Macaca mulatta: one gene and its partners. The protein of the gene in region 3 purifies or fractionates together with the protein of the main gene of each other region. This does not show direct contact. Links are inferred from orthologs where the notes say so. Each region holds a gene or a part of one and is shown on either strand. Other genes may lie near its edges. The genes, in order: RAN, NUP133 and NUP153.

Region 1 (10,778 bases), on a different chromosome or scaffold from region 3:
TTTAGTAAACACTAGGGACATGAAAAAGCAGTGACATGGCCCTTGCCCCCGTGGCAATTAGACTAGGAAGGGAAAGTCGCAATTGCAAATTTGCCATGCTGACTAGGGCTGAGAGCAATCTGTGATGTCTGTAGTCGGACATCTGACTCACTTAAGGTAAAAACCAGTGAGTGAATTCTAAAGCAGGTAAAGCATTAACTGGTAGGACTGACTTCAGGAGAGGTAAGGGGGAGTTCTGAAAAGCAGTATGCACACAGGTGTGTGATCTCAGGATGCACGTGTCACCAGAGCTTGCAAGACCTTGTAGGAAATGTGGAGCAAGAGAGATGCATCAGATGTTTTTTGAATTGGACTCTGACCCCTTAACTAAAGATAAGGTTTCCGTGGTGAGGTGCGGTTTCTCCCCAACATGCCCTAGGCTTCAAGGGTAAAAGGTGCTGCAGGGAGTTAGGATGGCTGCTGTCCTAGTACAAGGTCTGCCTCACACAGGGAGAGCTTAGTCTCACGTTATCCTGCTGGGCAGGACAGCCCTGCACAGCCCCAACGTGGCAGAAAGCATCATACACGATGTGTCAGTTTGCCAGCAAGAAAAGCTGAATCCAACCCTCACCCCATTTGCTCAGCGGGTAATTTTTTGTGTTCCTGATGTTTTTGCAGAAGAAACCAGAAATTCTCTGTACTTGAGTTCCTTCAGGTGAACAGTTAGCCAGGAAACCAGTCCTCTTTGGAGGTTATTTTGGAGTCTCATCTTTTCCAGACATTTTATGATTTAAAAAAAAAAAAAAAATTCTATATGGGTTTAAAAAAAAAAAAAAACTGGCTCTCACACAAATTGAAACTGCTCTCCAACATTTTGCCCGCTAATTTACCAATGTTTCACATTATATCCACACAAGACCCATGCGTTAACTATGCTTTTTCTTAATGACGTTGCTCGAATAAGCTATTACTAGTTTGCAGTAACTTCGTATAAAGCTTTCATTAGGAGATTTCAAAAAAGGGAGAGCCAACTTTTCCCATATGTACAATCTGGAGAGAAATGACCCCTTCCCCACCCCACCCCCCACATAAAAGATAATAATCTCTGCTAACTAGTCAGTATTTCCTAAAGCAAATACTACAGATGATTCAAAAAATCCAGGCAAAGTCGAAGCAATATATTTTGCAACAATTATTCTTTCAATAAATGACTTGTAAATTCTCTCCCACACCATGTTAGACAGGTAAGCGACGTCACTTCCAAATTTCAACTGTTACATAGAAGATCCAGAATGTCAACACCACTTGCAATCTACACAAGGTTACAAACAACACATACACCTTCAATTCAAAATATCTGAATGAAAGGTTTCATCCCAATTATGGGAAAAAAACTTCCCATCTCACAGGCTGGTTAGAAACTGGTTCTGAATACAGCGTAACATACACAGCAATTCAGATCTTAAGAAACTCAACTGTTGCCAGTTAATACAGTAAGTAGAACTTTATTCAGCTTCACCCTTGTTTCATTTTTCCATATATGTAAGTGATCCTTTCTATACCTTTTAAGGTAAGTAATCACCTCAAGATAATCAGACATCTAAAGAAAACTTTGGTAAACTGGACTATAGTAATTGTATGAAAAAAAAATAGCTCTTAAGATTCCTAACTGCTACAATAGTGTTGATGGGATCAAATCCTAATTAGGATAGAGACCTAATTCATTTTTAAATGTGGGAAATATACAAGATTAAATGCTTAGTTTGATAAAAATAAAGGTTTCACCAACTGTTCTCCATTGCTGAGAAGCCCCCACACTGCCCCACTATGCGTATTCCTAGTATTTCATCCATGTCCTGCTCTGCTGTGCTGCCCTACAAAAAAATCCTTAGGAGGAAAAAAAAAAATAATCAAACGGTGTAGTGTGTACTGCTTAAGAACTTAATGTCCAAGACATCTTTAAAGTCCGGGAGTACCTGAAAACCGTGGGTAAACATGGACCATTTTCCTTGCATATCAACTTTACACTAAGCATCTAACATTCAAAAAGTGCAAAATTTGTACTTAACAGCAAGAATTCCCAAGCTCCTGCCATCCACTGATATTCCATCCTGTTTGAAGTTCTACATTAAAACATGATTACTTTTGCCATAAAACAAAAGTATTACCCTTAAAATATCTATTTCATATATACAAACCACATTATTTTTTATTCTGACAGGTCACAAATTTTGAGCAAGTTCTTCCCTAGGTGACCCTACCTAGCCAAAATGAAGGTGGAGCAAACATTGCTTTAGCTTAACTGCACTAATATTTACACCATGTGACCCTTCTAACCAAATAGAATACTGCTGATCTGCCATAATCAGTTTGTGTGACATGGCTCAAATGTACAAAAATAAAAAGTAGACATAGGGAGAAATTAACCCAATAGATTTCAAATTAAGCGATAATAGCAAGGCAATTCAAATATTAACATGGCATAAAATTTCCCTATTTTAGCGATTTCCAAATGCTATTTATAAACAAGGGATGAGTTCACTTGCTTAGATATTTGAAATACAACTTTATTCTGATTCTAAACGAAAAGGAATGGGAATGACAGTAACAAAACAAGATTTCACCACTGAATATTGTGATGTGACTGTAGCAGTCTTATATTTGAAACTCAAGGAATCAACCGCGTTCCAAAACAACTAAATATGCAGGTCCAAACAATGAAGGTATTTTTTAAACTGCCACATTCACTCCGAAGCCCACTCATCTCCTTCAGCATCCCACAGATGAAGCACATGTTCCGCTTAGCTAGATAATAATGAGGTGGCACACACGCTGCACCGCTGACATCACAGGACAGCTGCCTATAAAACTAGACTTCTGACGCTGGGCTCCAGCTCCATTCTCACAGGTCATCATCCTCATCCGGGAGAGCAGTTGTCTGAGCAACCTAGACGAAGAGATGAAAAAATGTTAACACTCCAGATCAAAACTGCCAGGAATATACAAGTCAAACGTTATAGCCTAGACAGCAAAGTGGCCGTAATACCTCTAAGTCGTGCTCATACTGCGCTGCCAAAGCTGGGTCCATGACAACTTCCGGTGGGGCAAGAGCAGGCATGGCAACAAATTCCAAGTTAGGGTCTCCAATGAGCTTCCTAGCGAGCCAGAGGAAGGGCTTTTCAAAGTTGTAGTTACTTTTGGCAGAAATGTCGTAGTACTGTTTAAAAGAAAATAATTTTACCTTTTAAAATTCATTAAGATGACGATTTTTCTAGGACATGGCAAGACAAGAAAATGTTAAGATTCTTGGCAAGGCATGGTGGCTCATGCCTGTAATCCCAGCACTTTGCGGGGGGGCTGAGGTGGGAGGACTGCCTGAGGCCAATAGTACAAGATCAGGCCTGGGCAACAGAGCAAGACCCCATCTCTACAAAAAAACAAATTAGGTGGGCATGGTCTTGAATGCCTGTGGTCCCAGCTACTCAGAAGGCTGAAGTGGGAGGACTGCTTGAGCCCAGGAGTTCAAGGCTGCAGTGAGCTATGTTCATGACACTGCACTCCCGCCAGGGCAACAGGGGAAGACCCTGTCTCAAAAAACAAAGAATATATAAATACACACACGTATCTCAGTTGACCAACCCAGACAACAGTGAAACCCCATCTCTATCATTCTTTAAAAACAATAGTATAAAAAAAGACAAAATTATTTCCTGCCAGCACAGTGGCTCATGCCTGTAATCCCAGCACTTCAGGAGGCCAAGGCAAGTGGATCACTTAAGGTCAGCAGTCGGAGATCAGCCTGACCAACATGGTGAAACCCCGTCTCTACTAAAAAAAAAAAAAAAAAAAAAAAAAAGTACAAAAATTAGCCAGGCGTGGTGGTACATGCCTTTAATCCAGCTACTAGGGGAGCTGAGACAGGAGAACTGCTTGAACCCGGGAGGCGGAGGTCGCAGCGAGCCCAGATTGCGTCACTGCACTCCAGCCTGGGGGACAGAGCGGGACTCCATCTTGGGAGAAAAAAAATCATTTCCATATATAATAGACACTGGTCAATTTCATGGTCTTACATACAATCTCCGCTAAGAGAAATAACTCAGGAAGTTTTAATTTTACACACCTGAAGATTCTTCTTTCGGTGGAAGACAATGGATTTCGCCTTCACTTTCCTGTCCTTAATGTCCACTTTGTTACCACACAACACAATGGGGATGTTTTCACACACTCGCACCAGATCTCTATGCCAGTTAGGCACGTTCTTGTAAGTAACTCTCGATGTTACGTCAAACATGATGATGGCACACTGGGCTGAAAGAAACAGTTGCGGTAATTAGTACACTGTTTACCACACAAGTGAAGAATGCTAAGAACCGCAGACTAGGATTCAACTATAGTCTTAGACCTCAACAAGGCACCTAGATCTCTCCCCTCACTTTCAAAGTCTCTTTCAATTCTAAGAACATTAACACAGAACTCTTCCTAAGAAAGATGAGCTGATTCTATCAAATCTCCCTGATAAACTTCACCATTAATACTCCCCTCATCCCCAAAACACTATCTGAAGTAATTAATGCCAAGTGAGATTCTGGAGAACCAAGCTGCCATATTCTGAGGGTAGGGCCTGGAAATAGTCTTCAGAAAGTCTTTAAATGGCCGACTATACTAGGAAATATCATTCCTGTCTTAAAAACTCCAGATAGGCCAAGCGATGTGGCTCATGCCTGTAATCCCAGCACTTTGAGAGGCTGAGGTGGGTGGATCACCTGAGCTCATGAGTTCCAGACCAGCATGGGCAACATGGTGAATCCCCATCCCTACCAAAAAAAAATACAAAAATTAGTCAGGCAAAGTGGCAGGTGCCTGTAGTCCCAGCTACTCAGGAGGCTGAGGCTTAGGAGGCGGAAGCTGCACTCCAGGTTGGGCAACAAAACAAGACCCTGTCTCAAAAAAAAAAAAATTAAATAACCCAGATAAAGTCTATATACTCACCTGCAGGAATAACTATGGTACAGTTAGTAAGGCAAGAAACCACAACTTTTTGGTTAAAGGATTTTTTGGGGGGGAAATTCTTGTGTTTATATGTACACGTTCAAGAAGAGCAAAAGGCATGGAATGATTCCAGATAATGTGTTATTAGCAACGTGAGGTTCCAGGAGAGATGAGTATTTTGTTTATTCCTCTCTTTTTGGTACAATGAACATTTTCCTTGAGATTTTTAAATCAAACTATTTGAGAAAAATACTCTGCACAACTTACTACAAACAATTTAACAAGAAATCGGCTAGTCTTGTATAACACTTGTTAAGACCTCCTATCTCCTCTGGTCTAGTATCTGGTGTTGCTTTGTAATGGACTAGAAATATTCATTGATCGCCACACCAAACTACACACAAGAACCAAAGTTTTCAAATACTGAAACTGCTGTTAACAGCCTGTTATTGTTTTAAACATGACTTATAAGTTCCAGTGTAAGTCATAGGTTTTTCTAAACCATGCCTAGCATGACACAGCATGCAACTTTCATAAAATTTTCTCCTCTGCCACCAAAATGGTGGTCAACTCCCTGAAGTCCACGTCTTTTTTTAACCCAGAAATGACACAATTCCCATTACAGTATTAAGCACTATTTGTTGGAACAGACCTGATTTTCTATAACCTTGAAAACTGAAGTACACAAAACCTCTCAAAAACTGTTCAGCAAGTTACAAATGCCTACCTTGGATATAATAGCCATCTCTCAGTCCGCCGAATTTCTCCTGGCCGGCTGTGTCCCATACATTGAATTTAATAGGTCCTCTGTTGGTGTGGAACACTAGGGGATGAACCTCAACACCCAAGGTGGCTAAAACGGAAACGACATGATTGAGTGGATGAATTTACCCATTTCTCACGTATTTCCACAAGCAAGGTTTTCCTGCACATACCTACATACTTCTTCTCAAATTCACCAGTCAAATGACGCTTCACGAAGGTCGTTTTTCCAGTACCACCATCACCAACCAATACAAGCTGTTGGAGAACACATTTGGAAGTAAACCCAAAACACTTCACCTCTCAAGATCCCAGAGTCATGGAACTTTAACCATCACAGGCTCACTTAAAACAAAGAATATGGATGCGGGGCCCCGTTACAGCCATCGTGGGTCCGGGAGGAGGGACCCGCGAGTCGCACGCGGTCGGACTCGGCCGCCTCCCGCCCCGCAGGGTTACCTACTTTGAACTGGACCTGGGGCTCTCCCTGCGCAGCCATCGCGGCGTTCCTGCGGAGGCAGAGGACGGAGGCGAGCGCTCGCGCGGCCCCGCAGCCCATGGCGGCCCCGCTCCCGCGCCCCCAGCGCCCCACGTGCCCGCCCCACAAAGGCCTCCCGCCCGCGGCGCCATGGCGGCCGGGCCTCGGAGCGGGAAGGCGGCGGGCGGGGCCGGCATCCGGGGCGGCGGGGCGCGGGGAACGGCGGACGGAGGAGTCGGGATAGGGACGGGACTGAGACCGGGACGGGAATGAGAGCGGAGGATGAAACGGGGGTTCGCGGGGGCGGGCGCCGACCCCATGCCCGTCTCCTGCCCCGGCACGGCCGGGCCCGCGCCACCCACCTACTCACAGCCGCCCGCTGTCCCTGGGCCCGCCACCTGCCCCGGCCCTGACCCCGGCTCCGGCCCCTATCCCGCCGCCGCCGCCCCTGTCCCCGCCCGGCCCTGCCCCCGCCCGGCCCGCCGCGTCTCACTACCTTCCAGAAGCGTCTCCGCGCCCGTCCGACTGAGGCTGGAAAGATGGCGGAAGCGCAATTCAAACGCCGGAGACGCAGCCGACGCCGGCGCGCGGGCAGGGGCGGGGCCGACGGGGGCGGGGTTGACAAGGGGCGGGGCAACGGCACGGCGCCCGCCCACGTGGCCCGCGCGTGCGCGCGCGCACGCACGCAACCTGGTTCAGTCGGCCGCTGCGGCCGGCGCTGCGCTTAGGGTGGGGCGGGAGGCGCGATGGACCGCGTGGGAGGGCGAGCCGGGAGCGCGCACGCATGCCGGCCCGTGGGGGCCACGTGCGCCGGCGCCCAGGGCGGGCTCGGGGGCGCGCATGCGCTGACAGGGAGGCGGCGCGCCCCTGGGCGGGAGTCGTTGGGCGCGGCCGGACTGTCGCGGCCGTGCTACCTCTTGGGTGGGAGGCGGTACTCGCTTGGGCAGACGCGGTCAGGCACGCGGCTTCCAGGCGCTGGCCAGCCAGTCCTTGTCTGTGCCCCGTGGGGTTGGGGTACTTGGGGTCCTGGGGCTTAGGATGGCGCTCGCGTGCGCGCAGGACGGGTGAGTGACAGAACGGATGAATGAATGAAGGGATCCTAGGCTGGGCCTCCAGAGTCAGCCCGCGGCTCTGTCTCTCCAGATCGCAGCCTTCACGCCCCCAGGACCAGGGCCAGTTGGAGAGCGAGGAACCAGAGAGGGATGCCCCCACCCCGGAAAATGGCTACTTATTTTTTTTTAAGAGACAGAGTCTCGGCCGGGTGCGGTGGCTCACGCCTGTAATCCCAGCACTTTGGGAGGCCGAGACGGGCGGATCACGAGGTCAGGAGATCAAGACCATCTTGGCTAACACGGTGAAACCCCGTCTCTACTAAAAAATACAAAAAACTAGCCGGGCGAGGTGGCGGGCGCCGGTAGTCCCAGCTACTCGGGAGGCTGAGGCAGGAGAATGGCGTAAACCCGGGAGGCGGAGCTTGCAGTGAGCAGAGATCCGGCCACTGCACTCCAGCCTGGGCGACAGAGCCAGACTCAGTCTCAAAAAAAAAAAAAGAGACAGAGTCTCGCTATTTTGCCCAGGCTGGTCTCGAACTCCCAGGCTCGAACGATCCTCCCGCCTCAGCCTCCCAATTAGCTGGGACTACAGGCGCGCACCACATCCGGGGTAATTTTTTTTCTTTTTTTTTTTTTTTTAATTTTTAGGGACAGGATCTTACTATGTCTCCCAGGTTGGCTTCAGGGGATCCACCCGCCTCGGCCTCCCAAAGCGCCCAGCTTCTCAAAGCGTTTCATAGGTTGGCAGCCTTGGCCGCTGCGTCCTACAAACAAAATGATAAAATTTTGTTTGCAGTCTGGGCGCGTCTTCCAGCCCCAGTTACGAACGCGGACGGAATAAGTGCTCAGCTTCCCAGCCCCGTGTTGGCCTGAAGCTGTAAGACTCCAAACAAGGTTGAGCTAGAGCGACCCCGACTTCCTGGGCGCCCCTGCCGACATGCAGACGGAAAAAGGCTCAAATCAGCGCAGTCAAGCGCCTTAGAAGAGTCCAGCATGGTGAAAGAGTCCCGGTAACCGAGGAGTCCTCCCTGCAGTCCTGGGCACACTTGAGTCCGCTGGGAACCCCAGTGACGCAAATTGGTCACAACGCGGGGGAGAACCGGCCTGCTGGGAACGCAAGTCCGAGCTCCCCCAGAACCCTCAGGGGAACGCCAAGCACCTCTCGCGGGAGAGCAGAATCTAACAGTAAAACGGGAATGCCCATTGCTTGTGACCGTGGATTTCCATTTCTAGGGAGAGGCTCGAGAGTTAAACTCACGCCTCACACATGTGCACAACATTTAATGCTGTATAACATTTAAAAGGATTGACGGTCGTCTGTTTCCACAGGTTTAGATAGACGTCAAAAGGATAATGTTGAGAAAAGCAGAAAGAGGTGATAATAGCTTTATAAAGTCTAGGCCACCTGTAATCCCAGCACTTTGGGAGCCCGAGGTAGGAGGATTCCTTAAACCCAGGAGTTCCCAGCCTAGGAGACAGAGTAAGACCCTGTTTCCAAAATTATTACATAAAGCCTAACACTATATGTAACTTTATCTAGAGGGATTATATATATAGTATAATGTCATTTGTGTACGTTTTTTACAAAAACATAAAAGCATATTGGCTATTGGATATATGTATTTTTTTTAATTGCAAGGATATACATACCATATCCTGATGGTTACTGCTTCAAGAAAGGGTAGAAAGGAGTGTGATGGAACTGAGAAGAGGAGTCAAAGAAGACTTTAACTTTACTTGCAATATTCTATTTCTTTTGTTTTTTATTTTTCTTTCTTTCTTTTTTTTTTTTTTGAGACAGAGCCTCACTGTCGCTCAGGCTGGAGTGCAGTGGTGTGATCTCGGCTCACTGCAACTTCCGCCTCCCAGGTTCAAGCGATTCTCCTGCCTCAGCTAGTTGAGTAGCTGGGATTACAGGCATGCGCCACCACAGCCGGCTAATTTTTTTTATTTTTATTTTTTTATTTTTAGTAGAGATGGGGTTTCATTATATTGGAATAGGTAATCGAGTGGTCACTTTGGTAGCACGTATACCAAAATTGGAATGATACAGAGAAGATTAGCATGCCACCTGCGCAAGGATGACAATTTTTTCTTTTACTTTTTTTCTTTCTTTTTTTTTTTTTTTTGAGACAGTCTCACTCTTGTTGCCCAGGCTGGAGTGCAGTGCCGTGATCTCATTTCACTGCAAGCTCTGTGTCCCGGGTTCAAGCGATTCTCCTGCCTCAGCCTCCTGAGTAGCCGGGTTTACACGCCCACGACACCACGCCCGGCCAATTTTTGTATTTTTAGTAGAGATGGGGTTTCGCCATGTTTGCTAGGCCTGTCTCGAACTCCTGACCTCAGGTGATCTGCCCGCCTCAGCCTCCCAAAGTGCTGAGATTACAGGCGTGAGCCACCGCACCCAGCCAAGGATGACAATTTTTTTAATTAATTAGAAAAATTTAAAGAAAAAAGGTAATCAAAGCAAAGGTGACAATATATTAACTACTATACAGTTCTGGGCATTGGAACACCCGTGTTTATACCTTTTGGCATTTTTTTCCCCTACAAAAATACCAAGTGGAAATATGTCAAACCGAGAGTATTAGTTGTTCTAGCACCTGGCCTTTTCAATGGGGCTCTGGCGTGGTATCTCAGCTGTGAGTGTTATTAGCCAGCCCAAGCTCGGAACTTTCTAAAGATCATCTTGCCGGATGTGGTGGCACGCACCTGTTGTCCCAGCGACTATGGAGGCTGAGAGGGGAGGATTGCTTGAGGTCAGAAGGCTGTAGTGAGCTATGATCCCACTTGTGAATAGCTACTGCACTCCAGCCTTGGCAACATAGTGAGACCCATCTCAGAAACAAAGACCACCTTAGGAGCAGAGTGAAAACAGGAAAATATACTGAAATTGTTGTGTTTTGCTTCTTTTTTTTCTTTTTCTTTTTTTTTTTTTTTTTTTTGTGAGATGGAGTTGCCCAGGCTGGAGTGCAGTGGCGCAATCTCATCTCACTGCAAGCTCCGCCGCCCGGGTTCACGCCATTCTCCTGCCTCAGCCTCCTGAGTAGCTGGGACTACAGGCGCCCGCCACCTTGCCCGGCTAGTTTTTTGTATTTTTTAGTAGAGACGGGGTTTCACCGTGTTAGCCAGGATGGTCTCCATCTCCTGACCTTGTGATCCACCCGTCTTGGCCTCCCAAAGTGCTGGGATTACAGGCTTGAGCCACCGCGCCTGGCCAATTTTTTGTACTTTTAGTAGAGACAGGGTTTCACCGTGTTAGCCAGGATGGTCTGGATCTCCTGACCTCGTGATCCACCTGTCTCGGCCTCCCAAAGTGCTGGGATTACAGGCGTGAGCCACCGCGCCTGGCCTGAAATTGTTTTAGGTATTGTTTTCTCTGCTAAAAACTCCTCTGATTATCAATGGCTTTGCAGTTTGTAGAGATACTTAAACTTGTCTTTGCCATCCAACATGAATTGCAAACCTGTGCTTAAACTGTAGTTTAAAAAATTGCAGCCAAATACGCAGACTTACCA
Region 2 (10,656 bases), on a different chromosome or scaffold from region 3:
TGAGCCCAGGAGACTGAAGCTGCAGTAAACCATGATCACATCACTCCCACCTGGTCAAGAGAGCAAGACTCCACATCAAAAAATAAATAAACGGAAACAAAAACAAAAAAAGACTGGGCGAGGTGGCTCACGCCTGTAATCCCAGCACTTTGGGAGGCCAAGGTGGGCAGATCATGAGGTCAGGAGTTTGAGACCAGCCTGGCCAACATGATGAAAACCTGTCTCTACCAAAAACAGAAAAAAAAAAGTAGCCGGGTGTGGTGGCGTGCACCTGTAATCCCAGCTACTCTAGAGGCTGAGGTAGGAGAATGGTTTGAACCTGGGAGGCAGAGGATGCAATGAGCCAAGATCGCACCACTGCACTCCAGCCTGGGCAATAGAGCGAGGCTCTATCTCAAAACAAACAAACAAACAAAAAAGAAATATTTAGCAACATTTATATCGATAAATAATAAACTCATTAACTATATAAAACATTTCAAGGAAAATAATGTTCCTTCAAACACACATAATTTTCAAATAAGAGCTCCTTAAAGAAATGATAAATTATTTATTATATGGAGACAAAGAGTTTCATTCTCTATTAAGTGACAAAACTAAATTAGCATACGTCTTAGTATTGGTGGTAAACCTCCACAAACGTGTTAACAGCCCTGGAAATTTTATTAAGTCGAACTTTGCTCTTTAAAGAAAGGTAGAAGGGCGAAGTAAAAGGCACAATGTACAAGCGAAAATATCAAACCAAGCCCAGGCTGAGTGAGGACTTTTTGCTCAACTGAACTATCTGCTCAGTAATTTCCTTTTTCTTGAAAGCACTACAACGACTCCAGATCTTCAACTGGTGTGCCCTTAAGGGCTGACTTAACAGTAGTTGGCAGGTTTCTAAGTGCGGAAGAGTTCTTCAAGTTGACATATCTCTTTGTTTTATATATTCGGACTCCTAGGGACTCTGAATTTCTAGATATGGGGCTGTGTTATTTAATCTAGTCTGTTAAAATAGCAGGAGTACATTAAAAGGTTTAAATGTAATTTAAAATGAAATTTTTAGAGGAGAAAAATATACATATATATATACACAATATGTATATTTATTTAAAACAGAACAATGTATATAGAGGTTGGTAGTTTAGTTGTCTGAAAACAACTATCCCTAAAGCTCCCAAGGACCTATAGGCAAGATGTGCAAGTTCCAGCTGATGAGATATATTCCTTCTTCTAAAACAGAGTACTTTCAGCTTTTTTTTTTTTACTGTCAACAGTAATATATACAGTAAATAGAGTTATTCACAGTGTAATACATTTTACATCATGATACACCCATATACAATTTAAGTAAAACAAACAAAAATTTACTAAACATTATATGAGATGCATTCTATTTCTTCTTTTTTTAAATGCTGGTCAAGAACCGCTAAATTTTGGTCACTCCTACAATTTGAAAAACACTGTTCCAGAAAAATCACAAAGATCTAGAATTCAATCCTCAATAAAAATGACTTCAGCAGATATTAAGGATGCTCTGAACTTTGCTCTTTCAGTGTCATCCAACTGTTCATCTTTAAAGTTGCCTAAGCTTGTGTTGATTGTATCTGTCAAAATTCCACACTAATTCTCTGCCAACAGACTCTTCTAAAGGTACACCACCACAATGGTAACATCATAAATTTGTGCACACAGCCTCTGGGATGCTACATAGGATCCAGAAATAGAGGTAGGACTTGATTTTACTATATTATTAAACCCAATAACATAAAGTGCCAGTTTTGGGGTTTTTTTTTTAACGGTAAACTTCATAAACTTGATCAACTCTTCAAACAAGACTGAATTTTGCATATACAGTATTTCCCCCTTTTATCTGCAGTTTCAAATACCTGTGGTCAATTGCAGTCTGAAAATATTAAATGGAAAATTCAAATGAACAATTCCTAAGTTGTAAATTGCATGTTGTTCTGGGGAAAGTGATAAAAATCTCATGCTGTCCTGTCTAAAGGTTGTGAATCAACCCTTCGTGCAGCATTTCCATACTGTATACACCAAGCTTGTCCAACCCACGGCCCAGGGACACGTGTGGCCCAGGACAGCTTTGAATGCAGTCCAACACAAGTTTGTAAACTTTTTAAAACATTATGAGATTTACACACAGATCCATTTATTTATTTATTTATAGCTCATCAGCTCTTGTTAGGGTAAGTGTATTTTATGTGTGGCCCAGGGAAGCCAAAAGATTGGACACCCCTGAGACTATCCAGCTGTTTGTCACTTAGTAGCTGTCTCAGTTACCAGATCAACTGTTGCAGTAATGCAATGCTCGTATTCTTATTTAATGACCCCAAAATACAAGAGTAGTGCTGGTATATTGTTATAATTGTTCCACTTTATTAGTTATTGCTATTCATCTCTTAACTGTGCCTAATTTATAAACTAAACTTTATCATAGGAGTGTACGCATGAAAAAACACAGTATATATAGGGTTTGGTACTATACAAGGTTTCAGGCATCCACTGGGGAATCTTGGAAAATATCCCTCAAAGATAATGGAGGACTAGTGTACAGTACCTAAAACCATTAGACTTAATTTGATTGTGTTCAAATGAACTCATTCTCCTTCTCAAATTTATTATATATCTCAATTATAGTAAAAAACTAGGGCTGGGCACCGTGGCTTATGCCTGTAATCCCAGCACTTTGGGGGGCTGAGGCGGGCAGACCACGAGGTCAGGAGATCAAGATCATCCTAACACACTGAAACCCAGCCTCTACTAAAAATACAAAATATTAGTCAGGCAAGGTGGCGGGCACCTGTAGTCCCAATGACTCGGAAGGCTGAGGCAGGAGAATGGCGTGAACCCAGGAGGACGAGCTTGCAGTGAGCCGAGATCACGCCACTGCACTCCAGCCTGGGCAACAGAGCGAGACTCCGTCTCAAAAAAAAAAAAAAAGTAAAATAAAATAAAAAACTAGACAGGTGGCTGGGTGTGGTGGCTCATGCCTGTAATCCCAGCACTCTGGGAGGCCACAGTGGGCAGATTATCGGAGGTCAGGAGCTCCAGAACAGCCTGGTCAACATGGTGAAACCCCGTCTCTACTAAAAATAGAAAAAATTAGCCCGGCATGGTGGCTCACACCTATAATCCCAGCCACTTGGGAGGCTGAGGCAGGAAACTCGCTTGAACCTGGGAGGCGGTGGTTGCAGTGAGCTGAGATCGTGCCACTGGACTCTAGCCTGGGTGACAGAGTGAGACTCTGCCTCAAAAAAAAAAAAAGAAAACTAGAGAGGCTACCCATCTCTCTCCATTTACATAAAGGTATACGTGAGAAAACATAAATTTAATCTCTATGCCGCATCTAGGCTCCATCCTAAATTGCTAATATAGGTAAACGGAAAGATGACACCTACCTTCAGCCAATGTTAGCGCTTCCATGACTTTAACAGGAAGAGAAGATCCAAACGTTTTCACATCATAGTTCACAGACTCAGTTATGGAGTGGTGTGGGAACATTCGTGTTGGTGTTCCTCTAAAGAAAAAAGTCTAATTACCTTACTTATAACTTAAAATTTTCCATTATCCTAATTATTTATGTATATATTTTCACAATAAGGAGTTCTCTGAAAAAAATTAACACTGGCTCATATTTATCATGTAATTAAATGTAATATTTTTCATGTAAAAAGACAGGATTTAGGAAAACTAGGCTTCAATTCCATATGCTCTAGTAATAAAATGCATGCCTGTATTCACCTAAACTCCTTATAATTCTGCCTCTTTAGCTGTGAAATAAGGCTTAACTAGACCAGTGTTTTTTTCAAACAGTGGGTCGTTTTGCAGATCTCAATCAATATTTTTGAAAGACAGAATATAAAACATCAGCTTTTACCATATGTTGTGGTCAAATATATTTTACAAATATTGGCTTAGATGAGATTTACGTTCTCATTTGGCTTTAGGGTTTTAAGAATCTACCAGATCTGGCTGGGGCAGTGGCTCATGCCTATAATCTCAGCACTTTGGGTGGCTGAAGTGGGAAGACTACTTGAGACCAAGAGTTCAAGACCAGCCTGGGCAACATGGCAAGACCTTGTCTCTACAAAAAAAATTTTACATTAGCCAGGCATTGTGGCACCAGCTTGTAGCCTGGGCGACAGAGAGTGAGACCCTGTCTCTTAAAAAAAAAATCTATCAGATCTGTACAACCAAGCAAGAAATCAAACAGGTTACGAGCATCAGCTGTTACATGGTCTTCAACAGCAGATATCAGAGTAAAAACTATTTCCTGCTCACACTCTTCTTAACATTTAGAATACTGTAAAGCCACCAGAATAAGTTATTCTATGTCTTATGAGAATTAAATGAGGAGATGCACATACAGAATGGCTGAGGGCTTTGTTTCTTGACAGAGGATAACAAAGGTTTTTATTCAAATGATCATCAGAAAGAAGAGATTTAAATAAAACAACATACATAGTAAATAAAGTACGCTTTTATTCTCCAACTTTTCGTTAAAGGAATAGAAAACAATGCCAAGATCTGCACTTTGTACTTTTCAAAATATGCCCAAGAAAAGTCACAAAGATATGGTGCATTCTTTAAAAACCACTTATCCTTTAAAGTACTGCAAAATTTTACAGATAAATTTTAACCATAATTTCAAGACACAATACTCGGTGTTTTCCTGCAGGGAAAAATTCATTTATTATAGATGAATTCAGACAAAACTATGCAGAAACACGTTATCTTCTAAAGTTTTAGGTTAATTGTGAACATGGTGTGTGTTGGGGGGCGGGGGGAAGGGTGTGTGTGATTTTACTGGTGCTCCAAACCAGCAGTTTTAGTAACTAAATTACCACAGTACTCTTATCTCACTTATGTAAAGCCTTTTCCCTATAATTTACCTAGAAAGTTAAATTCCGTAGCTAGAAACCCTTCAATTACCAATCATCAGATATTAATGTCAGTTGGTATATTAGGCATTAAACAATTATATTTCAGGGTTGCAGGTCCTCATTATCACCATCACCTTACATCTGCATCGTGGCAATTCATACTAACTCCTCTGGCTCAGGTGACACATATTATCGCCATTTCACAGATGAAGAAAATCACGAGTGACTTACGCCCGATCACAGCGGTAGTAGGTGGGAAGTGGGTAACCATTGATGCGAATCCGGTTTGTACTTCACTTCTGCACAAAGGTATCCACGAAAAATGCAAAGTGGGGAATCAACTCAAAAAGTGAAGCAGGTATGACCTGCAAGAGTGGAAAACGTCTATTTTCCAATACTCTGGCATTCTCTTCCGCCGCCCCCGGTTCCGAAGGCTTCTGAAGACACCGATCCGGCCCACTGCGGCCCGTGAGCCTGCTGGTTGCCAGACCCAACCAAGGAGATCACTTACCGCGAGCTTAGCGAGCTACGCCGGCCCACCGGTGAGAAGAGCACTGGAGAGCTGACTGCAGACCCCAGGGGCAGACCCTTCCTGCTGGCCGTCCGGGGCGTGGAGCCGGGCCCGAGTCCGGCCAGGGGGCCCCTTCGGGACCCGGGACCCGGGGTCCGCGGAGAAGGGGCGGCTGGGAACATGATTCGAAGGAACAGAGACTTGGACGGCGAGGGATCTGGCCGTCGGGTTTCAGCGCGGCCTGCCCGCGGAGATTAAACACCTAAGGGGAGGGATGGCGCGCGATGATGACGTCAAACGCAGTGGCTCTCGCGAGTTGCGGTAGGAGCGCTGGCGGGGGCGTGATCGTGACGTTAAGGGCGGTGCCCAGCCCGCGGGGGAGGTCGGGAAGGCGGCCCGTGGCCGCAGATCCAGAACCGTTGGAGTGCAGAGCTTCCAGGGACGTGAAGCCGCAAAGCCAGGCCTCCTTCTTGACTGCTCCTAGTTGGAACTGGCCCTCCAGCAACTTGAACGCAGCCTCTTTTCACACTGGTAGTTCCTGAGACTCTTGTGAAATGAAAGATGTTCCTCAGTCCAAGCTGAGGACGGAGAAAAGCCTTTTGTAAAGCTGACACTGGTATCGCACTGTGATATTTGCTGTTTTCTAGGTTTGCCATTTTCCCATTCAACTTTGCACAGTTTCTTCCACGCTAATGACGCCATAAATCCGTGTCTCTAACCTGGATCCAGCTCAAAACCCCCAGACCCCTATCAAATCAGCTCCCTAGGGGACACATTCACCTGTAAGTCTTGCGGACTCCTCACAATCCGCTTATGAAAAGCACATTCATGTTTTCCTTTTAGGACCCCTCTTCTACCACCATCTCTGTCCCAGCTTGGTAAGACTGGCCAGTTGTCCAAGGCAAAGAGAGGAGTTCTATCTGCAGTCATCCCTCACACTTACCTCCACCCTAAGATCCTGGTATACGTTGTAGCTCCTACGTATCTGTATTAGATCACACATTTGCACCGCCTCTGCCCTGGTTCTGGTACTTTTCTTCAACCACTGCGTAGCCTCTTTACTGCCAGCGGGAGGGAGTGGGAGAGACGAGAGACGGGGAGATGGTTCCTTACCTGTGTCTAGTCTGACTCCACTCTATCTTCTCAGTGCCAACCCAATGAATTAAGGCAAACCTAATGCTGCTCTTGGGCCTGTAAATGCTTCAGTGGCTGACCATTGCCAGTAGTTATTTGCTAAGCTCCTTTGCAAGGTCTTATGTGATCTAAGGTTGGCTTTTCTGTCCGTGTTGTACTTCCACCACTTCCCACTTGTACTCCACATTCCAAGAACTTAAAAACCCAAATCCCCCTCCATTGCGCATGTACATGTTTCACCTGGAATGCACTCTGTGCCTTGTTGGTCCGGAAGGCGCCTACCTTACGCATCAAGTCAGTTCTGTGCTGCCTTCTCAGTGAAACCTTCCACAGGATTAGATACCCCTTATCCTTTTTGTCCTCTCTGCTCCTTTGTGTAGACTGTATTTTTATCCTGCATAATAGTTTGTTTTCATAACTGTCTCTCAAGTACCTCCTTGTAAATGTCTTTTAAAAGCAGCAGGAGCAGTGACTTTGTTACCTTTGTGGCACACAGTAACAGACATATAGTAGACTTTCATTCAACACGTGTTGAAATAAGGGGATGGTTAAGTAAACATTGATGTATCCACATGTGGGAGACCACAGTGTGGGTGTCAGTTGTTGACATTCCCCTGGGAAGCCAGTCATCGATCTATGCATGTCAGTGGCATCTGAGCAGTTATCTTGCCAAGGTTCCATAGGCTAGCTGCTTTACTCCTTCTCCAACCTGGGTGTCTAATCCAACTTGGCAGCTTGTTGAGTCTTAGGGCTCTGAGAGCCCAGTGCATTTTCCTCCTGTTTCATCCTTACAAGGAGGGGTGTGAAATAGGCAATAAAGAGTATTAATAGTTGTGTCTGAGAGGATTGGTGGAATCAATTGTATTCTTGTGCCTTGTTGGACTGGTTAGTGGTTTCCCCACCATCCTATTGTAAAAGCTGTTGTTTGCAGGAGTTAGAATGACTTGCCGGCACCTTTGAGCAAGAACTTTCCTGGAGTCCAAATGTATGACTTGAAGGATAGTGAGCAGACAGCACTAAAAGTCATCCATTCGTTATGGATTTAGTGAGTACCTACTATTTGTCAGGCTATGTGATAAGTGCTAAGGTTTATAACTAAACAAAGCCCAATGGGTCCCACTCTCATGGAGATTACAGACCAACGAGAAAGACACTGAAAAAATGAACACAAATATCCAGCTACAAGCTGAGATGTGTACTATGAAATAAAACAGCAAAGTGTATGAGAGAGAATCACTGGGGCTACCTATTTTTGGATGGAGGTCTATAAAGGCCTCTGGGAGAAAAGGACATTTAACCTGAGATATGAAGCATAAGAGAATGCGAGGAAGAATATTTCAGGCAGAGGATCCTTGGCCAAAGGTCCTGAAGCAGCAAAGGACTTGGTGCATTCTAGGGACTTTATTTATTTTTATTTTACTTTATTATTTTTCTAGCGATTGGGTCTTACTCTGTTGCCCAGGCTGGAGTGCAGTGGCGTGATCAAAGCTCACCACATCCTTGACCTGGGCGTCAGTGATCCTCCTGCCTCAGCCTCAGAGTTGGGACCATGGGCATGTACCACCACGCCTGCCTATTTTTTATTTATATATACATTTTTAGAAATGGGGTCTCACCGCCAGGCACAATGGCTCACGTCTGTAATCGCAGAATCTTGCAAGGCTAAGGTGTGGGAGGATGGCTTGAGGCCGGTAGTTCAAGACCAGCCCCTGGGCAACATAGTGAGACCCTGTCTCCCCAAGAAATTTTATTTTAAATTCTAAAAAAATACAATTTAAAAAATGGGGTCTTGCTATATTTCCCAGGCTGGTCTCAAACTCCTGTGGCTTTAAGTGATCCTCCAGCCTCAGCCTCCTGAGTAGCTGGGATTAGAACCAGGGACTTTAAACAGACAAATCAACCTGAAAGACTAAAAGTAAAGGAAATTGGAGAAATAAGGAGAGACTATGAAGGGCCTTTAGGCTCTGTCAAATAAGATCCTAGAGAACGCCGGGCGTGGTGGCTCACGCCTGTAATTCCAGCACTTTGGGAGGCCCAGGCAGGTGGATTGCCTGAGGTCAGGAGTTCAAGACCAGTCTGGCCAACATGATGAAATCCCGTCTCTACTAAAAATACCAAAAAATTAGCTGGGCATGGTGGTGTGCACCTGTAATCCTAGCTACTTGGGAGGCTGAGGCTGGGGAATTGCTTGAGCCAGGAAGGTGGAGGTTGCAGTGAGCCGTGATGGCGCCACTGCACTCCAACCTGGGCAACAGAGCAAAACTCTGTCTCAAAAAAAAGAAAAGAAAAAGTCCTAGAGAAAACAGATGGTACCCTCAAGCTAGGTAGTTAAAAGAATTTAATAAAGGAATGTTAGAGCCTGAGGGCGGTGGCTTACACCTGTAATCCCAGCACTTTGGGAGGCCAATGCGGGCAGATCACCTGAGGTCAGGAGTTCGAGACCAGCCTGGCCAACCTGGTGAAATCCCGTCTCTACTAAAAATACAAAAATTAGCTAGGCGTGGTGGTGCGCATCTGTAGTCCCAGCTATTTGGGTGGCTGAGGCAGGAGAATCACTTAAACCTTGGAGGTGGGGGTTGCAGTAAGCTGATACTATGCCGCTGTACTCACGCCTGAGCAACAGAGCGAGACTCTGTCTCAAAAAGTAAATAGGCTGGGCGCAGTGGCTAACGCACGTAATCCCAGCACTTTGGGAGACTGAAGCAGACAGATCACAAGGTCAGGAGTTCGAGACCAGCCGAACTGTGAAACCCCGTCTCTACTAAAAATACAGAAATTAGCCAGGCGTGGGGTGGTGCGCACCTGTAATCCCAGCTATTCACGAAGCTGAGGTAGGAGAATCGCTTGAACCTGGGAGGCGGAGGTTGCAGTGAGCCAGGATCGTGCCATTGCACTCCAGCCTGGGTGACAGGGCAAGACTTTCTCTCAAAAAAAAAATAAATAAATAAAATATGTGCCATGGTGGTTTGCTGCACCTATCAAATCCATCACCGAGGTATTAAGCCCCACATGAATTAGCTATTTTTCCTGATGCTCTTCCTCCCCCTACCCTCCCAAAGATGTTTTTTTATGATGGTAACAGTGGCCGGGTGCATATCTCACGCTTGTAATCCCAGCACTTTGGGAGGCCGAGGCAGGCGGATCACGAGGTCAGGAGTTTGAGACCAGCCTGGCCAACATGGTGAAATCCTGTCTCTATTAAAAATACAAAAATGAGCCGGGCGTGGTGGCACCCATCTGTAGTCCCAACCACTCGGGGGGGCTGAGGCAGAAAATCGCTTGAATCCAGGAGGCAGAGGTTGCAGGGAGCTGAGATTGCACCACTGCACTCCGGCCTGGACGACACAGCAAGACTCCATCTCCAAAAAAAAAAAAAAAAAAAGAAAAGAAAAAAAGATACAAAAATTAGCTGGGCATCATGGGTGCACAGCTGTAATCCCAGCTACTCAGGAGGCTGAGGCAGGAGAATCGCTTGAACCCGGGAGGCAGAGATTGCAGTGAGCCAAGATCGGCCGCTGCACTCCAGCCTGGGCAACAGAGTGGAAAAAAAGAAATGGTAGCAGTTCATACTGAAAAGGCTGTGGGGAAACAAGCACTGCTTACATATCTATCTGGTGGGATTGTAAAAGTACAATCTTTTAAGAGGACAATTTCTATCAAAAAGCCTTATAATTACTTGGCAATTTCACCTTAGAAATTTATGTGAAAAAAATCAAATAATAAAGACAATATTGTTTATAATAGTGAAGGAAGTAGAAAGTAACATAAATTGTCAACTAGATTTATAGTGCATCCACATTATGGAAAACTGAAAAAAAAATACTAAGGTCCTGAGTCTGAAAAAAAAAGCATTATGAAAAGCTATATTTAAAAGAATACATATGGACGTGAGTAATGAACACTTAACAATGTAGGAAAATATTCGTGCAAATTTTCTAAAAAGCAGTTTGGTTAAAAATAGTATGTGCAGAGAATTAGGTCAAAGTTGCAGTTACAAAAGATGCATAAGTCTAGAGATCTAATGTACAGCATAAGGATTATAGTTAACAACATTGTATTATATCCCAAAAATTTGCTGAGAGGAGATTTTATAGACTCTTTCCTCAAAAAACCCCAAAAAAGGTAACT
Region 3 (10,657 bases):
TTGCTGCTGAATGGCATAGGCTTATAAAATACAACCAATAATGTCTTAGATTTGGATGTTAAATTCAGATTATTGAAACTTGATTCAGGTCCAGGCACAGTGGCTCACGCCTGTAATCTCAGCGCTTTGGAGGCCGAGACGGGGGGACTGCTTCAATCCAGGAGTTGGAGACCAGCCTGGGGAACATGGCGAAACCCTGTCTCTACCGAAAAAATACAAAAATTAGCTGGGAGCCTGAGGCAGGAGAATCACTTGAACCCCGGCGGCAGAGGATGCAGTGAGCCAAGATCGCGCCATTGCACTCCAGCTTGGGGAACAGAGTGAGACTGTCTTAAAAAAAAAAGAAAAAAAAAAAGAAAAGCTCACAGTAGTTAAACTCACTAAAAGTTACCTACAAGATACCATCACACTTTTTCTCATGTAACATGTTTGAAAATTGGGAGTAAGAGTTTATTTCTTAAATCACACTATGAAAAAGATAAGCAAACTCAAGCAAACTGAAATATCTATAGTTAGAAAAGGCATCCTATCATCCCGTTTCTGACAGCAAATTGTGACAGCAAGACTTGAAACCAGGCTTCCCAAAACAGAAGAATCTTTTAAAAATATATCGCAACCATGAAGATAAGCTAAATAGCTACAAATAATTTTTTCTTTTTTTTTAAATACAAGATAGCAGGGCCGGGCACGGTGGCTCATGCCTGTAATCCCAGCACCTTGGGAGGCCGCAGTGGGTGGATCACGAGGTCAGGAGATCCAGACCATCCTGACTAACATGGTGAAACCCCATCTCTATTAAAAATACAAAATATTAGCTGGGCGTGGTGGTGGGCGCCTGTAGTCCCAGCTACTTGGGAAGCTGAGGCAGGAGAATGGCGTGAACCCAGGAGGCAGAGCTTACAGTGAGTGGAGATCGTGCCACTGCACTCCAGCATGGGAGATGGAGAGAGACTGTCTAAAAAACAAAAAAGAGAAAATACAAGCTAGCCCAGCACTGTGGCTCATGCCCGTAATCCCAACACTTTGGGAGGCGGAGGTTGCAATGAGCCAAGATTGCACCACTGCACTTCAGCCTGGGTGACAGGACGAGACTCCGTCTCAAAAAAAGAAAAAAATACAAGACAATTACAATCTTTGCAATAATACTCTGTGCCTAAGGAAAATGATTTTGGCCAGGCGAGGTGGCTCATGCCTGTAATTCCAGCACTTTGGGAAGCCGAGGAGGGCAGATCACTTGAGGTCAGAAGTTTGAGACCACCATACCAACATGGTGAAACCCCATGTCTACTAAAACTACAAAAACAGCCAGCCGTGGTGGCACACGTCTGTAATCCCAGCTACTCAGGAGGCTGAAGCAGGAGAATCCCTTGAGCCTGGGAGGCGGAGACTGCAGTGAGCCAAGATCACACCACGGCACTCCAGCCTGGGTGACAGAGCTAGATTCTGTCTCAAAAAGAAAAAGAAAAGAAAACAGTTTTAATTAGTGACATCAGACCACAGTTTTTATTTTATTTCAAACTAAGATACCTGCCTTGTCAGGGATTTCCCAGAAAATGGATACAGCAAGTGGGCTTTTTTGTCACTTATTAGAAAAATTAAGTAATTAATATAATACCACATGAAACCTCTCATCACAAGCAAAAGACCTACTTTGTATTAAACTATTTAATATATGCAACTATTGAATTTAGTCACCTAAAGGAAAAAAACCTCTGATAAGAAGCAGGAAAATTCAGAGACAATGTGAAGACCCTAAATCAGGAGGCTAATTTCAATAAATAAAACTCTAGTCTCCCAAAAAAAAAAAAAAAAAAAAAAAGACCCTAAATCAAACAGTTCTATTTAATTTCAAATCTCAATTGCATATATATAGTAAGGACTCAATTTTAAACAACTCCTTACTTATATACATATGCCAGGTCCTGTTCTAAAAGCTCCACTTGTCCCATTTAACCTCCACAACAATTTTCACTTTACAGATGAATAAATTAACTCGTCCAAGTCCAGGTAGAACAGGGATCCAAACTCAGGTTGACTCCACCACACTACAATTTTTTCCTATCAACTATCCAATCCTATCAATGTTTCCACTTCTATTCCCACTGATTAAGCATCTAGGATAAAGCAAATAAGGACAAAATAAAAGTCAAGAACTTGGTGGCTTCTGGAATGATTTAAATATTCAACCTCTAAATATCCCTCCTTTTCAAATCTGAGGACACTCCAGCTATCAGACACCAGGCAGGACATACTTATTTGGGATGAAGTATCACAAAGAAGCTACCAAAACAAATAAAAACTATATTATCATATAAACCATGGTATAGCAAACCATGATCTGTGGGCTGGGCCAAATTCAGACCTTGGCCTTTTTCATACAAGCTAAGAATGGTTTTTACATTTGCTAAAGGATTGTTAAAAACAAAACAAAGGACAATTTACCACAGCAGAGCCTAAAATTTACTATCTGTGTCCCTTTCAGAAAAAGTTTACTGAACCCTGATCTAAGCTACTGATAAAGAGGTTTCCTTCCCCTTTTTAAAAATAGCCAAGCAGTGGCTCATGCCTGTAATCCCAGCACTGTGTGAGGCCAAGGCAGGTGGATCACTTGAGGTCAGGAGTTCAAGACCAGGCTGACCAACATGGAGAAATTCCATCTCTACTAAAAATACAAAATTAGCCGGGCGTGGTGGTGCATGCCTGTAATTCCAGCTACTCAGGAGGCTGAAGCAGGAGAGTTGCTTGAACCCAGGAGGCGGAGGTTACAGTGAGTCAAGATTGCGCCACTGCACTCCAGCCTGGGCAACAGAGCAAGACTCCGTCTGGGGGGTGGGGGGGGAGGTGCTAAATGCAGGAACTGACTTGTAAGACAAACCATATCAAGTAGGATTAAAGGCGGAGTCCCTTAGCTCTAAACCAGAAGATAAATGTCTGAAGCACACTCCCCATACACCCCCATCCCCTCCCCTGGTCAAAAAGGGCAAAAATAAGTGGTTTCCTCTCACCAGGAGGTGGCAGTAAGTTCTGCCAGAGGCAAGGTTCTGGTTTGCCCATGGGCTCAAGTTTTTTGTAGTGGCTACTAAGAAAAGCAAGCAGCTTAACCTCTCCAAAGAGCTGACTTTCTGTGCCTGAGGATCTGAACAAAAAGGAAATGGGAAAGGAAGACAGGAACTAACCACATTCTTTTCAGTGACCTATTCACTCCCAACTAGAAAAATGACACCATTTCTGGCCAGGCAAGGTAGCTCACGCCTGTAATCCCAGCACTTTGGGAGGCCAAGAGACCAGCCTGACCAACATGGAGAAACCCCCATCTGTACAAAACATATAAAATTAGCCGTGTGTGGTGGCGCATGCCTGTAATGCCAGCTACTCGGGAGGCTGAATAGCTTAAACCCGGGAGGCAGAGGTTGCACTGAGCCGAGATTGCGCCATTGCACTCCAGCCCGGGCAACAAATGCAAAACTCCATCTCGAAAAAAGAGAAAAGAAAAGAAAAATGACACCATTTCCTAAATGCATCTGGGCAAAAAGGTAAAGGGGTAAGGGAGAAGGCAAGTGAGAATGATCAGCTTGCATTATTCAGGGATGTTCTTCATATTTGCTTCTACAATTCGTAAGAGTTATTACCCTTATTACCCTGCAGTTATCTGAGCAAGACAATGAATTTGTCTGCACGACTTCATGCAAGATGACATTTTAAAGATCAGAAGTTGGGCCCAGCACAGTGGCTCATGCCTGTAATACCAGCACTTTTGGGAAGCTAAGGTGGGCGGATCACCTGAGGTCAGGAGTTTGAGACCAGCTTCACCAACATGGCGAAAACTGGTCTCTAAAAATACAAAAATTAGCCAGGTGTGGTGGCGCATGCCTGTAATCCCAACTACTTGGGAGGCTGAGGCAGGAGAATGGCGTGAACTCATGAGGCGGAGGTTGCAGTGAGCCAAGATTGCACCACTGCACTCCAGCCTGGGCCACACAACGAGACTCCATCTCAAAAAAAAAAAAATCAGAGCTTAAGAGGGAAAGTGGTAAACTTATAGCATTTCCCAGGAGAGCTAAATCCAGAAGTCAAAACAGGAAATTACAAGTCAAATGAACACATGCAGAAGTCACAGGTACTGGGTGACCGTACTAGCAAGTTGCCCTGACAGGCACTGGCAAACATCCATCAAGTAAGAGCACCAGACCTCTCACTGTTTCTTACTTCAGCTTTCCGCTATACTACCAAAAGCTTAATTTTTGCTCAGAAACCCTTGGACACTTAATCAAATAACATGAGTATAAAACATGCCATGTCATGAAGCTTGCTTCATGATGACTCAGCAGCTGCTGCAAAACATCCAGTTCACAGTCTAGGATAGTAGACAGCAAGTGAGTAGACCCTATGTTCACCAAAGTCTCAATAAGGACTAAAGAAAGCCCTTATTTTTAAGATTAAAAAAAAAAAATAGAGTATTCTTTTGAATGTACCTGAATACTTTTCTTGGGTAGTGGTAGTTTCTGACAATATTAAAGAGCACCTACAGTGTTGATCAAGAAACCCCTAAATACCTTTAATTCCCAATTCAAAAGCTAAAATATGTTTTCTTTTTTAATTAAATAGCCAGAGCAAGAAGCAAAAGTATTTTAGATAAGGGGCAATGATAAACTATCAAGATTTAAAACAAAACTACACAGCCTGAAGCCATATCAACTCTAAGACACCTTGGATCATAGGTATTATGCTGTTAAGGCATCGTCTCCCCAAAATTAGATTTTTATTTTATCTAAGTACATTTCAAAATAAGCTGTGATAACTTCAGACATTTGGAAAATATTAATTCCCTTCTAACCTCTATCCAGACCATCCAATGACCTATATTTAAAACACGTCATTTTTCTATACATGTCATACAAGAAAATCTAAGCACTCAAAGGCATTCATAGGAGAAAAGAAAGCATGCATGTCTAACTTCCATTCTATAGAAGGATTAGGTTAAATGGCCAGGCTTGTGACCTGAATTCTAATCTTAAATCTGCTTGCAAATACCCCTGTTCGTCACAAATTTGAAAACTAAGTACTTTACATATATATCTCGGGGAAAATTGGTAGAAGTAATAACAATGCCAAACCTAACCATCAGTAGAGAACGACTTAAAATACCTGAGCCACGATTTTCACTACTCAAACATTTCCCTCAAAATAAAAAACATTTAAGAAAACTTAAAAAAAAAAAGTCCTCAAATCTTTACCTTCCCCCCCGCCCCGCCCCAGACGGAGTCTGGCTCTGTCGCCCAGGCTGGAGTGCAGTGGCGCGATCTCGGCTCACTGCAAGCTCCGCCTCCAGGGTTCACGCTACTCTCCTGCCTCAGCCTCCCGAGTAGCTGGGACTACAGGCGCCCGCCACCACGCCCGGCTAATTTTTTTATATTTTTAGTACAGACGGGGTTTCACCGTGTTAGCCAGGATAGTCTCCATCTCCTGACCTCGTGATCCCCCCGCCTTGGCCTCCTTAAGTGCTGGGATTGCAGGCGTGAGCCAAGGCGCCCGACCCATACTTTTACAAATCTGTTGATAATGACACAATTTAACAACATCAACCATGTGAAAGTGTGTAATATTTATTAGCATCCAGAATAAAGTAATCTAGGAAGTCTACCTTTAACAGTAGGCAACAAGTTATCAGATCCTTTTGCTACACTTTTGTTTTTCAACAAATTTAAAACACACACTTCCCACCTCAGTATCATTGATAAATTTTTAAGTGGCTTTATTAAAATAAGTTAACATTTTCCTATTCAATCCTTCTAACAACCAATTATTTTAAAAATGGAATTTTCTCAGAATCAACTACCTCATTTACAATTACGATAATCTTTTTTTATAATTTTAAACATCCACGAATTCATACACTGGCTAAACTATAAGATCACCAACATTCCTGGAGCGTCAAAAGTAACTAAACTTCTAGAATACGCCTCATAATATTAAAATATTTTGTGTATGAGATCAGAGCTGGAGTCCTGGTCAACTGTGGAGAATGGCCAATTCCAGCCTCCAAAATAAAAGCGGGGGTGGGGGGGAGTCGCGCAGCAGAGAAAAGACGTAAGGGTGGAGAGGGACTTTCAAAATGCCCCAGTGCCACGGTTAACTATAACCCGGTTAAGAAAACCTAAGCCAATGCTCTCAAGACGAGGAGGAACACCGGCAGGGGAAACCGAGAATTAATTCATAGGCTGAGACTAAGTTATTCCACTTTCCATGTAACAGCGCCCCCCACAACTCCCCGTCTGCCCCAGAGTTAAGATTCCTCGGGGCAGCCCACTCCCCACACACACACACTAAAGGAGGGACACCAGAAAACAACAAGGGCAATCAACCACAACTTTTCCTTTCTCCCTCGAGAGGACGTGAGTAATACCCTCAAACTCCAAATCCCCGCCAAAAAAGAAAGAAACGCGCGCATCCTGGGCCTACAATTTCTTTTCCCGCCCAGAGCCTGCCTGGGAAAACCCCTGACCCAGAGGGTTGGGGGAAAGGCGGCCCAAACCACACGTGTGCGCCGCAAGGCTGGACCTGTCTCAGCCCACTTCCCGTCGCCACCCCCAACGGCCTGAGCTCCCCCGAAGCCTCACTCGGGCCTTTCCTCAGGCCCTCCTGTCTGCTCCACGTGGGGCGCCGGGGCCTCGAACCGCCCGTCCCCTCCAGCCGAGTTTCCCCACCCGCCAGGCCACCGCGGCGTCGGGGTCCCATACCTGATGCTGTTGTCGCCCCTGCTGGTAAGGCTTAATTGGCCCCTGGTGGCAACGCCGCGTCCGGATCTTGCCGCCACCGCCCCCTCCGACTCCTCCGGCTCCCGAGGCCATGGCGGAGCCTCCGCCGCTTCCCGCTCCGGGGCGGGTAAGGGGGCGGGAGAGGCAGAGGCGGAGGCCTTAGAGCGCCCCCCCCGCCGCCCGGCCCCGGCCCAAAAGTCCGCCCGAGCTGTCCACACAGTGGGCACAAGCACCCCAGGAACCGCGAGGTTGCGAGCAGGAGCGGAGAGAGGGTGAGTGCTGGCAGCGGGGAAGGGGGTGGCGGCCGCAGAGGCCGAGGAGGCTCCGGTCCCGCCGCCTCTGCGGACCCCCGCCTCTGTGTATGTCACGGTCTCTATGGAGATCTCCCGCAGAGGACAGCACTAACAGCTCCCGGCGGTGCTGAGGCCTAACTCGACCGCCGACTGGTGGGGATTCTTCCGTCGCCCTAGCCGTAGCTGCCGCAGTTGAAGCCGCTGGCGCCGCCCGCCTACCCCTCCCCTGTGCGCACAGCGCCCGCCCCGCCGTCGTCGTCGTCCCTGCAGCCTCCGCCGCCGTTGCGCCTATTACCGCGGCTAAGGCGGCTGCCGCGGTCGCGAGCCAGAATGTCGTCACTCACAGGCGCCCGACGCATTTGCATCATCATGCTACGACGAGCTGGTAGGCAAAGAGGAAGGACTGATGGAGTCCACTCTCTCGGCCGCGCGGCACGCTGGGAAACGTAGTTCAACAACGGAACGCGGATTCTCGGAAAGGGAGAGGGACGGGGAAGGAGATCCCCGGAGCGCCGCAGAGGCACAAAGCCAAGGGGTACTTTTGCCGTTCTTGGTTGTAAATTAGACTCTGAAAAGGCACTTAACATAAAAACAGTAACTTCTTCCCACTCTCCTTCTCCCTGTCGGTTGGTTAAGTGGGCAGGAAGTAAGCAGATAGTAAAATCAAAGAGCTAATGATTTAAGAAGGAGGAAAAAAATCTGTGGTTGAAAAACAATGTCCATGATCCTTAGAATTAGAAAATATATACGACTTCATTAATGTTTATTTAAACATATAAAGGCTTTGTTGCCAGACACACGGGGCTGGAATTCTGGTTCCGCCACCCAACCTATTTGACCTTGGATGAATCAAAACCGTCTGAGCCTTAGCTTCCTCCTCCATAAAATGGGAGTTTTATAAAGCTGTTGTGAGAGGCAGACGTGATCATCTATGGAGAGCATGTATATTTACTAATAGGCGAAAAATGCAATGAATGATTACAATTTTAACCCATACAGTCAGCTAACATTAGAGGTAAGTGATAGATACATCCTTACTAATAAAAGTATACCGTATTTGCTCCAAATAGAAGGCATTGTATTTAGGAAACTGAGTAAGTGAACTAGACTCAAAGACTGAATCCACAAAATATATATTCTAGGAGTTGACGATTAGAAAGGCCCTGGTGATCACATAGTCCAACCCTCTCATTCAACCAACCAGACAAGAGGTCCAGAGAAATTTAGGTGGCACAATCAATGACACTGAGATGGGTAATCAAAGCCAGGACTATAACCCAACTTTTCTGTAAGAGTTAAAGACAAATAGCCAAATGATTAGGGAGGAAAAATCTATTGTGAAAAATCTTAGACTTACTATAAAGCTTATTTTTTCTTTCTTTCTTTTTTTTTTTGAGAGACAGTCTTGCCCTGTAGCCCAGGCTGGAATGCGGTGGTGCAACCTTGGCCCACTGCAACCTCTGCCTCCCAGGTTCAAGTGATTCTCCTGCCTCGGCTACCTAAACAGCTAGGACTACAGGTGTGCACCACCACGCCCAGCTAATTTGTGTATTTTTAGTAGAGATGGAGTTTCGCCATGTTGGCCAGGCTGGTCTTGAACTGCTGACCTCAAGTGATCCACCCACCTTGGCCTCCCAAAGTGCTGGGATTACCGGTGTGAGCCACCACTCCCAGTCAATTTACTGTAAATCTGCCACTTACTAGCTGTGTAACCTTTGGGAAGTTACTGATCCTGTTTCTTTCTTTTTTTTTTTTTTTTTTTTTTTTTTTTTTTTTTTTTTTTTGAGATGGAGTTTTTTTCTCTTGTTTTGCCCAGGCTGGAGTGCAATGGTGCAATCTCGGCAACCTCCACCTCCAGGGTTCAAGCGATTCTCCTGCCTCAGCCTCCCAAGTAGCTGGGATTACAGGCATGTGCCACCACGCCCGGCTAATTTTGTATTTTACTAGAGACAGGGTTTCTCCATGTTGGTCAAGCTGGTCTCAAACTCCCAATCTCAGGTGATCCGCCCACGGCCTCCCATAGTGCTGGGATTACAGGCGTGAGCCACCGCCCCCGGCCCACTGATCCTGTTTCTAAGCTTCGTTTTTTCATCTGCAAATAGAGTGAATATTGACCTCACAGGGCAGTGGTCTGGTGAAAGGATGAATGTATATCTAGTTCATAATAACTGCTTAGATAGAAAGCATCCAATATCAACCATGAATCAGATATAAATAATTAGTTCCAAGACATTTATACTATCTCCAAAATCCAACTGCACAATTCAGGTTCACGGTTTAAATCATACAAGTGAAATTGTAAAGCCAATCTTCTAGTACCTTTGAACTTGTACCTTTCAGTGCCTAAAGAAACTATGCTATACCAAGCATAGGTGTACACATCAATGGCTTTCAGTGGCACCTCTGACCATAACCATCAAAATCAAGACAAGTTGCCAAATATGATAAACAAAATTAATCTATTTTCTCTTCCACTCTCCCATCCTAGCTTCATGCCTCCTTCCACCACTAACTTCCCACTAAACTCTCCAAGTATGTCCCCTCTTCCTCCTGAAGCACTTCATCTTTCTTAAAGACAATTGTTTCCCTCAAGTGCTATCTTCCTCCTATGCAGAAATCCTACTCTTCCACAAATCCATAGCTAGATACTTGATAGCCAAGTAAAGTAATTCACGATAAGTTAACTCATAGGGAAGATCTGTACCTGAATCTTTAATTGGGTTATATGTAGAGGAGATTAAACTGTAGCCACATCCCATCTGCCCTCTTCACTCTATCAGACTCAGGAGTTTCCACCACAGAACAGAGGACTGACTGGAATCAAAGCTCACCCCTTTCTTAGAGGCCATTCTTTGATGTGCCGGACACCCTTCACAGCCAACTTTTGAAACGAAGAGAGACGCGAAAGAATTGGGCCAAATGTAGACAATGCTTCAGAAATAGAAGATTGGTAGAACTTGAGGAGATATGGGAAAATCCACATTCCTTTTACCCATGCTCTCAACTTTTTACCCATTTCCACAATTCTTTTATTTCTTGGAAGTAAAATAGGATTTGAGGGAACTATAATATATTAATCTCACGTTCATGTGATTGAATCATTGGAAGTCATGCCAGGCTTGAGAGCAAAGAAGGAATAAGAGACAGGAGGAAATCTGCATTCAACATGGGCCTAGTTTTTTCAGCCAAAACAAATGGCACATTGGGAGACACTGCAATTCATGAAAAGCTTGTTGCCACAATAGTCCTTCTCGAAACTTCTTTATTTTTTCCCCATATAATATAGTAAAAAGTGGCCGTGCATAGGCTGGGCGCGGTGGCTCACGCCTATAAACCCAGCACTTTGGGAGGCCGAGGTGGGTGGATCACGAAGTCAGGAGATCGAGACCATCCTAGCTGACACAGTGCAACCCCGTCTCTACTAAAAATACAAAAAATTAGCCAGGCGTGGCAGCAGGCGCCTATAATCCTAGCTACTCGGGAGGCTGAGGCAGGAGAATGGCGTGAACCCGGGAGGCGGAGCTTGCAGTGAGCTGAGATCCTGCCACTGCACTCCAGCCTGGGTGACAGAGCAAGACTCTGTCTCAAAAAAAAAAAAAAAAAAAAACA

What was found.
Region 1: the proteins of NUP153 (region 3) and RAN purify together in Homo sapiens (affinity purification with mass spectrometry; 5 studies listed by BioGRID and IntAct, counting the BioPlex papers as one, with this or other methods). This does not show direct contact. The link is inferred for Macaca mulatta from reciprocal best matches to the Homo sapiens genes NUP153 and RAN.
Region 2: the proteins of NUP153 (region 3) and NUP133 purify together in Homo sapiens (co-immunoprecipitation; 3 studies listed by BioGRID and IntAct, with this or other methods). This does not show direct contact. The link is inferred for Macaca mulatta from reciprocal best matches to the Homo sapiens genes NUP153 and NUP133.

What each region holds. Positions count from the first base shown.
Region 1 is NC_133416.1:138,250,491-138,261,268, reverse strand, and holds RAN (GTP-binding nuclear protein Ran), read right to left. Parts: upstream 6,737-10,778; 5' UTR 6,705-6,736; intron 6,240-6,704; 5' UTR 6,230-6,239; coding exon 6,194-6,229; intron 5,989-6,193; coding exon 5,904-5,988; intron 5,822-5,903; coding exon 5,696-5,821; intron 4,288-5,695; coding exon 4,100-4,287; intron 3,197-4,099; coding exon 3,026-3,196; intron 2,927-3,025; coding exon 2,882-2,926; 3' UTR 2,521-2,881; downstream 1-2,520. UniProt on the Homo sapiens protein: GTPase involved in nucleocytoplasmic transport, participating both to the import and the export from the nucleus of proteins and RNAs. Switches between a cytoplasmic GDP- and a nuclear GTP-bound state by nucleotide exchange and GTP hydrolysis.
Region 2 is NC_133406.1:19,533,410-19,544,065, reverse strand, and holds the start of NUP133 (nuclear pore complex protein Nup133), read right to left. Parts: upstream 5,687-10,656; 5' UTR 5,577-5,686; coding exon 5,395-5,576; intron 3,518-5,394; coding exon 3,399-3,517; intron 1-3,398. UniProt on the Homo sapiens protein: Involved in poly(A)+ RNA transport. Involved in nephrogenesis.
Region 3 is NC_133409.1:165,354,467-165,365,123, reverse strand, and holds the start of NUP153 (nuclear pore complex protein Nup153), read right to left. Parts: upstream 7,023-10,657; 5' UTR 6,849-7,022; coding exon 6,738-6,848; intron 1-6,737. UniProt on the Homo sapiens protein: Component of the nuclear pore complex (NPC), a complex required for the trafficking across the nuclear envelope. Functions as a scaffolding element in the nuclear phase of the NPC essential for normal nucleocytoplasmic transport of proteins and mRNAs.